4 linked regions of the Saccharomyces cerevisiae S288C genome follow. Changing the gene in region 1 together with any one later gene gives a genetic interaction. Each region holds a gene or a part of one and is shown in the gene's direction. Other genes may lie near its edges. The genes, in order: GAB1, ALG5, BRE2 and OCA2.

Region 1 (3,642 bases):
AAAGTGAATTGAATCAAGTGAGCGCTACTATCAATGGTATTGCTGATATTGTGAACCCTAATAGTGAAGAATCTACTTATTATAGGCGGTTGTTATTAACAGTCAATCCAGACGCAGATATTTTTATACTAGGAGAAGATACAGCCATAATAAAGGTAAATATACAAAAAATAAAAGTCTCTGACATGGAAAATAATACTTCTACATACGGCCAAACAGTACAACCAGTTTAACGGAAATATGATGAAAACTATGTGTACTCTAATTATTATATAAAGCATCTATAAAATGAATCATGAGGATTAGGCCGTGATCTTCGCGCTCCATATATGGAGAATACTTTTAATTTCACAGGAGAAATTAAGATAAATAACTTGAAAAGTCCACTGAGATTGGTGAAAGTGTTTCATCCTCTTTTTCAGTTTCCCTTGAACGATAGGGTGGAGTGGGACAGGCGGGAGATATGTTTTCCTGTAACGGCTGCATCTCTGGTATATTTCCATCCCGATTATATGTTTTCATGGGGCTGGAAGTGAATAATGAATTCGTTCTTCTTATTGGAGACGGGGAAAGATCAATTTTCAAGGGCTTAATCTCATCGTTTTCTCTAGCTAGATTAGACATGGTTCTCCTAGATTTGGTGTATGATGGATGAATGTTTGAAGAATCTAGTAAATCCTCCAAAATCCTGTACTTCTCATTTGAGTAATTCAATGCTTCTTGTAATGATTGTAGCTTGCTTTCCAAGGCTTTTATTTTCTCATCTCTTTTCTTAATTTGCCGCTGTAGAAGAATTTCTCTATCTAAGTATAATGATTGATTTCTATCTTTTCCACTCGACCCGTCAGAACTACCACTTCTTAGTTCACTGATCCGTTGCTTATTGTATTTCAACTCCGATATCTTTCTCTTAAAGGCATCACTCCTTAGGATCCTAGATTTGGCTGTATCTGTGTCCATATAAGAAGGTCTTCCCTGGGATCTCTTCTTCAAAATTCTAGTCATGTCGCCACAAACATTTTGCATCTTGCTCATATTTTCATTATCATTGGAAAAAACATCTCTGATTGTCTGGAATATCTTTGTTAACCTTCGTTTGGGTGTTTTCCTCCTGTTAGTACGAATTTTTTCTTCAGTTTTCCTATCTGTCACCTTTCTAGGTCTTTTTAGAACGCTTTTACCCGTAGGACGCATCTGCTTTCTTCTGCTCCTTAAGGCAGATCGTTTTCTCACTTCATCAAGGGACCCGTATTCTCGTTTCCTGCCATCATCTCGTATTCCAAAAAAATCTTTCCACAGTCCCTGTACGGATTTTAGCATATTACCAATGTCTATTATTGTACCTTTCTCTTCAGAGTATCTACTTGTTCATGTTCAGCAATAATTTCATAATTGTTGATGCGCGCATCGTTTCTATACTATGACGCGTCACGAATTGTGCTAGAGTGGCCTCTAATGAAAGTATAAGAGGCGTTGGCGAAGGTCAAGGATAGACCATTGGCTGTTTCGGATGAGTTATTTTTAAAGTGTAAAGGTATAACATCAAATGAATGAAAATTAACATTGATCTCAGCTCTCAATTTCTTTCCTCATTTGTTTTCGATGTTTCTATATGAGTATACATTAAACAAGTAAATCTCAAGCTCTTGTCAAAACAGTTATTTCCAACATATCTATCTGCATTATTGGTAGCATAATTCTCAAAGGAAGCTAAAACATCCTTCTTAAAGACGTCTATTGGCAAACGATATGTTACGTATTCCGGGTAAAACAAATATTCCATTAAGTGAAATGACCTTTGTTTTCAAAACTAACCAGTTTTAGAACAGTAATTCATATAAACAACGTGATCTTATATGAAAAACTCACCAAAAGGAGACCAATGGATTCCACAGCACTTAAGGTAGCTCTAGGCTGTATTGCAATTCGTTTGGCTGTGAACAGCCTTTTTCCCTCTCTACAACAACAACTGGACCAGTCTGTAGAATTCTCAACTCCCGTAACTTCATTTAGGTCACTACAGGAAGGTATATACCTACTGCGGAACAACATCCAAGTATATAATCATGGGGTTGTTCACCATCCTCCAATTTTGATTTTTTTTCTTTCCCTCTTTAATTCCGACAGGTTAATTTCCCTCATATACGCTTTAATTGATGGATTAATTGCGTATCAGCTGACAGAGGTAACAAAGGCTTTCAAAAACTTGAAACTGAAAGTTTGGCTACCTGGACTTCTTTATGCCGTGAATCCTTTGACCCTTTTATCGTGCATTAGTCGGTCATCAATCATATTCACAAATTTTGCTATTTCATCGTCATTGTATTGCATATTAGCTGAAGGAAACGTTCTTTTGTCCTCTGTTATGATTTCTATATCTGGATATTTGTCAGTATACCCTATTCTCCTCTTAATTCCGCTATTAGGTATGCTGAAAAGTTGGAGGCAAAGAATATTATCTGCCATTGTTTCCATACTATCTTTATTAATTCTGCTATTATTCAGCTACAGTATATTAGGCAGCCAAAGTTGGTCATTTTTGACACAGGTTTATGGATCTATTATAACCTTTGAGAAGGTTTTTCCAAATCTGGGTTTGTGGTGGTACTTCTTCATTGAAATGTTTGACACCTTCATACCGTTCTTCAAGGCTGTATTCAACATTTTTATTGCAGTATTCATTACACCATTTACTTTGCGCTATCATAAGCAGCCATTCTACGCATTCATTTTATGCATTGGGTGGATTGTCCTTACAAAGCCATATCCCTCACTAGGTGACGCTGGTTTTTTCTTCAGCTTCCTACCTTTCTTCACGCCACTATTTGGATATTTAAGATACCCCATCATATCAGCATTACTGTTTTTACACGCAATTGTTTTGGCGCCAATTTTCTATCATCTTTGGGTTGTTTTAGGTTCAGGGAATAGTAATTTTTTCTATGCTATTTCCCTAGTTTATGCTCTGGCTATAGCATCTATATTAGTTGACTTGAACTGGGCGATGCTGAGAATTGAATACGATAACGGTATCCCAAATTTCAAATTGAAGGTAACACAAATTTAACTACTTCCCGTCTATAAACGTACATAAACTAGAATAAAAAGAACCATACAGATGTTCATCGTAAGAGTGGATAAAGCGAATATGAGAGCCATATTGGTTATTCCAGAGGCTATCTATTTTTTAAGAGAAACTGCTTGGTTAAAATTTGCATAATATTGTCTCGGAGAGAAAAGATAGAACTCAGAAGGACCTAATTAATCATGAGCGTTATAATACGAAGAATTGAGATAGAGTGTATGATCTGCGGATTAAGCTCCTACATAATAACAACATTGTACTTGGGACTATGCCAATTTCTTTCCCACCAAAAGTCGTATGAAAAAGGTTATCTTCGCTAGGGCTTCCATTAGGTGAAAGCCAATATATTATCATAGAATAGCACGGCATAAATATATATTTTGTGCTGTCTTTTTGGGAAGGGTAGTTTGACAACCCATGTACATTAACATAAAAAGAGCTTTATCATTAACGGACGAAGAAAGAATGTGTATCGCGTATTTTTAGACTATCGATAATCTTTTTTAAAGTTATGGTAGATAGAAGATGGAATCAGTTACGAAGTGATGAGTTCCCAT
Region 2 (3,122 bases), on another chromosome or scaffold:
TTTGGCCAATTCAGGTTTGAAATCAGTTGCTACATCGGTTAAAACTGGAACTGCATCTTTGAAAGTAAGTTCCAATAAATCGTTCGCCGAATCTTCTCTTATTCTATCTACAACGCTTAGAGCGGCCATTTTAGCTTGCCATTTGGCACCAGATGATAAGTAATCCAAAATCGTAGGCAGTACAAAACAGGTTAAAGCCTCCATTGGAAAGCAATTCAACAAAGAATCAATGGCATGTTGCGCGGCACGTTTGACTGTATTCTCTTTATCTGAAATACAGTCAAGTGCGACATTGAAGAATGGTAGCAAGTATGCTTCCTGTGGTGGCTTTCCACTGAAAAATTGAGCAATGTTGGAAATTATTAGCATGGCAGATTCTCTAACTAATGATGGATTCTTAGGTTTGATGAATTTAGATAGAACATCGACGATTTTCCACTCTTCAATTTTCTCACCCGTACTGTTACCTTCTTTGCCAAATTCTTCAATGATTAGTTTGATTTGATTTTTGCAATCAGTGATACTTTGACATTCAGGTATCTTTGACAAAAATTGAGAGATGGGTGTTAACTCTAAGTTCGACAGCTTTTCATTCAAAGAGGTCAAAGATGTAGTAGAAGCAGATGGAGTTGGAGTTCCACTTTGGTTGGGCGTCACAGCCGATTGTTTGTAAGTAGATTTTTGATAGCCCTGGCCATTGTATTTATTATAGTTATTGTAGTTGTTATAATTGTTGTAGTTGTTGTAGTTGTTGTAATTGTTGTAATTACTGTTATACGATTGGTAACCACCTTGTTGGTAGTTGCCCCCCTGTTTCCAATTACGCTGTTGTTGGTAGCTACTTTTTTTGGAAGCGTTATTACTACCGGCATCAGCAGCAGGGTTTTTAAAATAACCACCGAAGGGAGAAGCGACTAGATTTGGGTCCTTTGGTTGGTCGTCAAGGAAAGAGTTTAGATCCTTAAACTTCTTTGGAGGCATCCTGAGTTGAATTAGCACTGATTGTCGTTGTATTTACAGTTTACAAGATATAAATTATGCACTATAGATCGACGCATATGTATTATCTTAAATAGGTTGCAATATATTATTATTTTTTAACATTTATTGCGATGCTGCTGAAAATTTTTTTTCCACCTTGAAACTTTTCTTTTTCCATTGAAAAATTAGATGTGGTGTTTGGGTTTATTCCATTTGATCTTGTAACTTCTATACTAGTCACAACTAACAAGTCCAAAGTCAAGTGTACATAGTTATCCTATTTTCACCGTTATCACTTCAGTACCTTTTAATTTATATATATTAATGCACATGGCTCTGTTGTATCTTTCGAAGCAGTGTATGCCATTTTTTTCATGAGAAAGCGAAATTTGGCGTATTCGAAAAAAAGTGTAAACAAGAAGAAAACGTGCCAATTTTCAAGGCTTTATCGCAATTAAAGTGGCACAAAGGACCATAGTCACTGTGGAAAGGTAGTGGTATCTAATTGGATGCTGTAAGGATAGATTAGGTGCTTTTGATAACGTAAGAAAGGGACAAAAACAGAGAGGCAGCCAAAAATTACACAAAGCACAACAAAAATGAGAGCGTTGAGATTCCTGATTGAGAACAGAAACACTGTCTTTTTTACGCTCTTAGTAGCCTTGGTGCTTTCACTGTATTTATTGGTCTATTTATTTTCGCATACACCAAGGCCGCCATATCCAGAGGAGCTCAAATACATAGCTATTGATGAAAAAGGTCATGAAGTTAGTCGTGCCTTACCTAACTTGAATGAACACCAAGATGACGAAGAAATATTTTTATCTGTTGTTATCCCAAGCTATAATGAGACAGGTAGAATTTTACTAATGTTGACAGACGCAATCAGCTTTTTAAAGGAAAAATATGGTTCCAGATGGGAGATTGTCATAGTGGATGATGGTTCCACAGATAATACCACACAATACTGTTTGAAAATTTGTAAAGAACAGTTCAAATTGAACTACGAACAATTCAGAATCATCAAGTTTTCTCAAAACAGAGGCAAAGGTGGCGCAGTGAGACAAGGTTTTTTACATATTAGAGGTAAGTATGGTCTTTTTGCCGATGCTGATGGTGCTAGTAAGTTCAGTGATGTAGAAAAACTAATAGATGCTATTAGCAAAATTGAAACGTCTAGTACAGATCTAAAAACGACTAAACCAGCAGTAGCAATTGGTTCCAGAGCACATATGGTAAATACCGAAGCCGTCATAAAGAGATCAATGATAAGAAACTGCTTGATGTACGGTTTCCATACCTTAGTTTTCATCTTCGGCATCAGGTCTATCAAAGACACACAATGTGGATTCAAATTGTTCAACAGAGCCGCTATATTGAAAATTTTTCCGTATTTGCATACAGAGGGTTGGATCTTTGACGTTGAAATTTTGATCTTAGCCATCAGAAAAAGAATCCAAATTGAGGAGATACCAATTTCCTGGCATGAGGTTGATGGCTCTAAGATGGCTTTAGCTATTGATAGTATCAAAATGGCGAAAGACTTGGTTATTATAAGAATGGCCTATTTATTAGGGATATATAGAGATAATAAGAAATGTTAGAGTAATTATTTTTATGTTATTATTATCATTATTATTATTATTACATAAGCTTTCATAACAGCATTTGAGTAAACAAAAAAAATTTCTCGCTCAAGGGCATTTGCTTATTTTTTTTTGAAATGATTCAAATATTACATGACTTTCTTTGAACCTTCAAAAATTTCATATGATAAAGACGATAACTTTCTTCTAATAATTGTACCATTATTCAGAAACGTTCTAATAAGAGATGCATATTCTTTACTATCGTTCGTTATGTTATCAAAGGCGTTTAACAGTGCAGGCGTGTTGATTTCTAGTTCCACTTCGTGAGTGGTCTCTGATTGTCTACTTTTTGAATTTTGGTTATGATTTTCGACTTTTGTAATATCAATTCTGGTACAGGAATCATTATGAATGTAACTAACACGGTCTTTCGTCCTTTCACTAATTGGGCTTTGAGATTTATATTTTTCTGGCGGATCGTTGTCAGGTACAGGTAATTCCAAGTTTAGGGAGATTTTAACGTCGTAACTATCTTTTGGTGAATATAATAGT
Region 3 (3,631 bases), 880 kb from region 1:
ATGCCTCCAACCTGTCTGAAGATGAAAATAAAGATGCAATATATTTAGTAGCGCGTCTCTTATATGTCGCGACAGTAGTAATATCTGACTTAAGTACCTGCGTAGCATGGCCAATAGCAAATATAATGTTTAAAAAAAAATAAGGTATGTGAAATTTTGTCGGTAGTTCAACTATCGGACGCATGTTGACTTTTTGAGATGTCTCCCAAGTGTCATACCATGGAACATCCACGGAAGAGCATACGTCAATCTTCTCAGTAACGTTCTCCCTTTTTGGTTCAGTATGCGCACTAAAAGCACTGGTAATTGGAATTTCGAACGCGCTATTTATGCCTGTCTGATCAGATGCCAATGCAATATTGGGATTCCAGGGACCATAAATAGGTTCAAAGTATTTTTTCAGGAAAAGTTCTCTATGCAGCAAAGGTAACTGGGAATTAGTATCTACAAAAAACCTGGATATCATAACTTCAGCGGCATGTCGAGGTGGTAGTTCCAATGGATCAAAGTGTGGATTGTTTTCAGCCTCTGCATATCCATTGTATTTCTGTTCCCTTTGTTTAATATCTTCATCCAGAACGTCATCTCCGGAATCTTGACGAAAATTAGTTGCCGTGAAGACTAATTTCGCAAAGGAAATACCCGATGAATCTCCTAAAAAAGAGTTAAAACTACTTTCTCTCATCGTGCCCAGCGCACTGATCTCCTTATTACATCGGCGTAGCTCTTCCGCTCTTGCATCTGAAGTCATAGGGCTGCCTGTCTCGGGTAATAAAGCGCTACCATCTTGTTTTTTTGAGTTTACCAGAAATTCCTTGCGTTGTACATTTATAGTCTGTGGGCTTGCCATAGACTTGCTCGTTATAGCTGAGGATGCCATAGAATTCCCTTTCTGAACCAAATAATCCGCCAATAAGCCATTATGTGGCAATATTCCCTCTTCTCCCAAAGATGAAACTGAACTGTACTTTTTCAAATCAAAAGGTTCATCATCACTTGTAGCAGGTATATTTCCTCGTATTTTCGTGGGATCTACTCCATATTCTTTCAACACACGCATCATGACAGCCAATCTATCTTCCAGAAAAAAGACGTAAGATCTTGGAACGTCCTTTCCGGTGGCTGGGTCCAAAGAAACACATGGTACCTCTAATTTTGCACACCTCTTACAGCTAGGAAACTCCTGATCACATTTAATTTTTTTCAATCGACATCGTTTACATGCAGTTCTAGATTTGGAAATTCCTATATTAGGAGAATCTCCTCTTTTTGATAAATCTGTTCTATTACTTTTTTTGGAGTTAAATTTTTTCTGCTTCATGATTTAATCATCATCTTCGTATGTTTTATGTACTCTAAAGGGTTACTCCTGTGCGAATAAAGCAAACCACTTTACGTTACTAAAATTTTTCACATTTGGTATTGTGAGTATTTTATGAAGCTCATCGCGGTAAAAGAAAAAAATAGAGAATCTGTGATTATAGTTTAAAAAGGATGTAGACAAAGGATATCAGCGATAAAGGTGGCCATAATTGGACGAAGACAAATAATTCACTTCCTTAATAATGAAGTTGGGTATTATACCTTACCAGGAAGGTACTGATATTGTTTACAAGAATGCTCTCCAGGGTCAGCAAGAAGGGAAGAGACCTAATTTACCACAGATGGAAGCAACGCACCAAATCAAGTCATCGGTTCAGGGTACAAGTTATGAGTTTGTCCGCACAGAAGATATTCCATTGAATCGAAGACATTTTGTGTACAGACCGTGTTCCGCAAATCCCTTTTTCACTATTTTGGGGTATGGCTGTACAGAATACCCATTTGACCACTCTGGAATGAGCGTCATGGACAGATCTGAAGGGTTGTCAATTAGTCGAGATGGAAATGATCTGGTAAGTGTCCCGGATCAATACGGTTGGAGAACTGCAAGAAGCGATGTGTGTATTAAAGAAGGAATGACGTATTGGGAAGTGGAGGTAATTCGTGGAGGAAACAAGAAATTCGCAGACGGTGTTAATAATAAGGAAAATGCTGATGATTCAGTAGACGAAGTACAAAGTGGCATATACGAAAAAATGCACAAACAAGTGAATGACACCCCGCATCTACGATTTGGAGTTTGCAGAAGAGAGGCCAGTTTAGAGGCTCCCGTAGGGTTTGATGTGTACGGGTATGGTATTAGAGACATTTCGTTAGAATCTATCCACGAAGGAAAATTGAATTGCGTCCTAGAAAATGGTTCGCCATTGAAAGAGGGTGATAAAATCGGATTTCTACTGAGTCTTCCTAGCATTCATACACAAATCAAACAAGCTAAGGAGTTTACCAAAAGAAGAATTTTTGCACTGAACTCCCATATGGATACGATGAATGAACCATGGAGAGAAGATGCTGAGAATGGGCCTTCAAGGAAAAAATTAAAACAAGAGACAACGAACAAAGAATTTCAAAGGGCGCTATTAGAAGATATTGAATATAACGACGTCGTCCGCGATCAAATCGCCATCAGGTATAAGAACCAGTTGTTCTTTGAGGCAACGGACTATGTAAAGACAACGAAACCGGAATATTATTCTTCTGATAAGAGGGAAAGGCAAGACTATTACCAGTTAGAGGATTCATATCTTGCTATCTTTCAAAATGGTAAGTACCTAGGCAAAGCATTTGAAAATTTAAAGCCGTTGTTACCACCGTTCAGTGAGTTACAATACAATGAAAAGTTCTATCTTGGATATTGGCAACATGGTGAAGCTCGTGATGAGTCCAATGATAAAAACACAACCAGTGCCAAAAAGAAAAAGCAGCAACAAAAGAAAAAGAAGGGATTGATACTCAGAAACAAATACGTAAATAATAACAAACTGGGTTACTATCCAACAATCAGCTGTTTTAACGGTGGAACAGCGAGGATAATTAGTGAAGAAGATAAATTGGAGTACCTCGATCAAATCCGATCAGCTTACTGTGTTGACGGGAATTCAAAAGTTAACACACTGGATACATTGTACAAAGAACAGATAGCTGAAGACATAGTATGGGATATAATCGATGAGTTGGAGCAAATTGCCCTACAGCAATAAAGCAGCATTCAAAGAAGAATAATTAAAACACACTGAAAGTGTGTTTCTTATATATGGTTATACATTCATGAAGATGAGTTCGTAATCGTTATCTTCTTCAAATTCTGAAAGTGTAAGGACGTCACCACTTCGTAGCTCTATATATCTCGCTCCAGGAATTACAACGTTGTTCAAACATGTCCCATTGGACGAATCCAAATCCATTACATAACATTTCAAAATGCCACGAACGTTCCTGAACTGGATGACGCAGTGCTGCTTTGAGGATGTTTCTTCGGGTATACCAATGTCTGCGACAACGATCTCCGTTCTATCGTCGAGATCTGTATCCAGACTGTGGCCCAGTTCACGACCGACTAAATAACAGCTCCTGCCGTTCAAATCGTATCTTTTCCACGGTCCTTTATCCTTGTCATTCTTTCTGTATATCACTAGTTCATACATAGTCCTATCTCGCGCCTCCAGTCCTAGCATATCCATGTAGTTATCTGGAGAAATAGCGTCCTGCGGCTCCACATGTTTTAAAGCTATACCTTCTTTGTTATTCG
Region 4 (2,784 bases), on another chromosome or scaffold:
GGCAGATGTACTGATGATTACTGGTGCGTTAGAACCGTATGGCCTTGAAAAGAATAAAAGCAAACATCGATTTTTTTGGTACTGAATTACACAATTTTTAAGGACTAAAAAAAAAAATGTTTAACCTGAACAACCATGTATCTTAGATGTCAGGGTATCTAGATTATTTCTCTACCATTCAGGACATCATCCAAAAACATCGATGGCGCCTGTCTTTTATGAGCCTTTTTAGGAGAGCTAGTATTTGAGGTAGCAGAAGCGACTGGTATGAGGCCCAAGGAGGATTGGTTTCTCTTATGGTAGCCTTCCATTGAGTTAATTTTCTTTTCCTTTCTTTCAGGTGACGCTGCTCTTTGTGGTCTATTGAGGTTCAGCTTTCTCTCTTCTTCTTCTTCTTCTTCTTCTTCTAGATAGGTACCTACGTATAAAAATGGATCGTCAATAAAAATGTTAGTGTCTTTTGATTGATGGCGGCTATGACTTTTTTCATATTGTGACACTTGTAAAGTAGGAGATATAAATAAGGATCTTCTGTTGTCTGTGAACGGATCCTGAATTGGGTTGAATGGTGAGGCAGCATCCTCGTATTGGCTAGATTCTAATTGGCTCATAGAATCCCAATCATCCTGCATATATGATTTCTCATCATTGATGTCAAAGGGATTGCTTTGTAAAGAAGAACTATGCTTGTGGTGTCCCCTGTACAAATTTTTACTATCATTTGCATAAGAATTTGTCATTGTGAAACGACGAGACAAATAACTGGACACTAACCACCATATAAGAATACTGATAAAAATGGCACCTATGACAGCACCCACAGCAATGTATACAGTTCCATTTGGTTTATCAGCAGCATTTAAAATAAATGGGTTTCCTGCTGTAGATGGGGGTGTTATACTTGCGACAATTAGTGATGAGGAGGATGTTGCTCCACTGGAAGTTGAGAAAGCCGAAGATGTTAACGATGGAAGGGACTTGGAACTCGTTTCGGACACTACACTTGACGTGGGCTTTGACAGGGCGGTTGAACTAGTTGTAGTAGTAACTAAAGTAGGAAGGTCTCTTCTGACCAGCGATACAGACGGGATAAAGTTTTTCTTAACCATCTCTGCCGATGTTTCTTTCTGAACTTTTGACAAGGTATGAGTCTAGTTGATTATAATACAAGAGTGTGGGTATGTTATTAATAAACATTATAAATTATTAACCCATATAGCTGCTAAATATAATTGAAAATCTAGTAATTTCTAATTATACATTTTTTTTTTTTACAAATGTTTTATGATATGTTTACTATTTCCCGCTTTAGGAAATCATATTAAGGGTTTCATGAAAGAATTCTGCAGAGTGATCATTGGAAATCGGCAGAAAGTGAGAAGGGAGGCTGTCACCAGGTTCCCCTATACTATTCATGTGAGTGGTAGCATGCAAAGTAAAGACCCTTTTTCATTTAGTGATTCATCCATGAATAGCTCTTGGTGCTAGCCCAGATTTTTCAGTAATTTTTGTTTTTTCTTCTGAATTTTCCAGAATTAAAAAAAAGATCAGAAAAAAGCGAGAGTTTACTTAAGATATTAAAGTCTAGTTGATATATCAACAAGTGAAGGCAAAATACCAATAGAGTGCACGTTTCTTGATGCTATGAAATACATACCCCCATTAAATTTTTCGCCAGTGGTGAGCACGGATGTATCGTTATATCGATCGGGATACCCGATGCCGTTAAATTATAGTTTCATCAAGCATCAGTTACACTTGAAGACCATAATATATATTGGCGATAAAGATAGGCCTCTCGAAGAATATCAAAGCTTCCTGGAGTCAGAAAAGATAAAATACTATCACATATTTATGGATTCAAGCCGCGATGAAGGAATTCAAGAAAGAATGAACCAGGTCTTGCACTTGGTGCTGGATGTCAGAAACTATCCCATCTTAGTGCATTCCAATAAGGGCAAGCACCGTGTTGGTGTAGTTGTGGGAATCATAAGAAAGTTGTTACAGGGATGGTCCACTGCAGGTATATGCCAAGAGTACGGGTTATTTTCTGGTGGGATGAAAGATGGAGTAGATTTGGAGTTTATCACAATGTTCGAAACCAATCTGAAAATACCGAGAAACGTTATCCCTGGCTTTGCTAAACACTGCTTGTATTTGAATGAGCTAGAGGCTGCGGAAGGAAGTGATGATGAGTCAGGAAGTGAGTCTATTCTCACTGCCAAGCAACCAATATGATTATGAGAACCAGCCGTTACAAAGAATATTTTCTGTCATTAATATATTTGTATAAATAAAACAACAAGTCTAAAGATCAAGTAGAAAAATGGAAACAAGAACGAGCACATATATGGTATATAGTGAACATATATATATTAGATATATACGTTCAAGCGTCGAAGGACAAAGACCAACCTAGCTTGTGAACAGGTTCAGACAACTTCAAAGCATCGAAAGAGGAACCGACACCCAGAGTGACGCCAGGTCTTAACAATTGCTTGTAAGCCAAAGTGACAATACCGGAATCGGACACCTTAGCCTTAACTTGGGAAGATGCATCAGGCAAATATCTAGTGGCGAATTCGATGTTGACATTGGAGTTAGGTAGTTTGCAGTTCATTGTAGCCTTAGCACCGACCTGTAAAAAGGCGTTGACGTTTTGGAAGAAGTCAACGGTAGTTATTTGCTCGTTGTTCAATGTAGCGCCCAAGGAGTAGTCTTTGGCGAAATAACTTAAAGCCATGGCATAACGAGAAATGGAACCGGCGCTGATATCGTAACCAA

What was found.
Region 2: mutations in GAB1 (region 1) and ALG5 together harm fitness more than expected from each alone (negative genetic interaction), as found in Saccharomyces cerevisiae (2 studies listed by BioGRID).
Region 3: mutations in GAB1 (region 1) and BRE2 together harm fitness more than expected from each alone (negative genetic interaction), as found in Saccharomyces cerevisiae (2 studies listed by BioGRID).
Region 4: mutations in GAB1 (region 1) and OCA2 together harm fitness more than expected from each alone (negative genetic interaction), as found in Saccharomyces cerevisiae (2 studies listed by BioGRID).

The regions. Positions count from the first base shown.
Region 1 is NC_001144.5:1,055,452-1,059,093, forward strand, and holds GAB1 (GPI-anchor transamidase subunit GAB1), read left to right. Parts: upstream 1-1,882; coding exon 1,883-3,067; downstream 3,068-3,642. Other genes in the region: YLR456W (pyridoxal 5'-phosphate synthase), read left to right, coding at 1-233; NBP1 (Nbp1p), read right to left, coding at 361-1,320. UniProt on the Saccharomyces cerevisiae protein: Component of the GPI transamidase complex. May be involved in the recognition of either the GPI attachment signal or the lipid portion of GPI.
Region 2 is NC_001148.4:119,626-122,747, reverse strand, and holds ALG5 (dolichyl-phosphate beta-glucosyltransferase), read left to right. Parts: upstream 1-1,580; coding exon 1,581-2,585; downstream 2,586-3,122. Other genes in the region: NEW1 (New1p), read right to left, coding at 1-981; CET1 (polynucleotide 5'-phosphatase), read right to left, coding at 2,717-3,122. UniProt on the Saccharomyces cerevisiae protein: Endoplasmic reticulum membrane-bound UDP-glucose:dolichyl-phosphate glucosyltransferase involved in protein N-linked glycosylation.
Region 3 is NC_001144.5:173,662-177,292, forward strand, and holds BRE2 (Bre2p), read left to right. Parts: upstream 1-1,565; coding exon 1,566-3,083; downstream 3,084-3,631. Other genes in the region: PPR1 (Ppr1p), read right to left, coding at 1-1,321; PML1 (Pml1p), read right to left, coding at 3,141-3,631. UniProt on the Saccharomyces cerevisiae protein: Component of the Set1C/COMPASS complex that specifically mono-, di- and trimethylates histone H3 to form H3K4me1/2/3, which subsequently plays a role in telomere length maintenance and transcription elongation regulation.
Region 4 is NC_001146.8:515,605-518,388, forward strand, and holds OCA2 (Oca2p), read left to right. Parts: upstream 1-1,644; coding exon 1,645-2,238; downstream 2,239-2,784. Other genes in the region: YNL058C (uncharacterized protein), read right to left, coding at 159-1,109; porin POR1, read right to left, coding at 2,390-2,784. UniProt on the Saccharomyces cerevisiae protein: Required for normal growth in the presence of linoleic acid hydroperoxide (LoaOOH).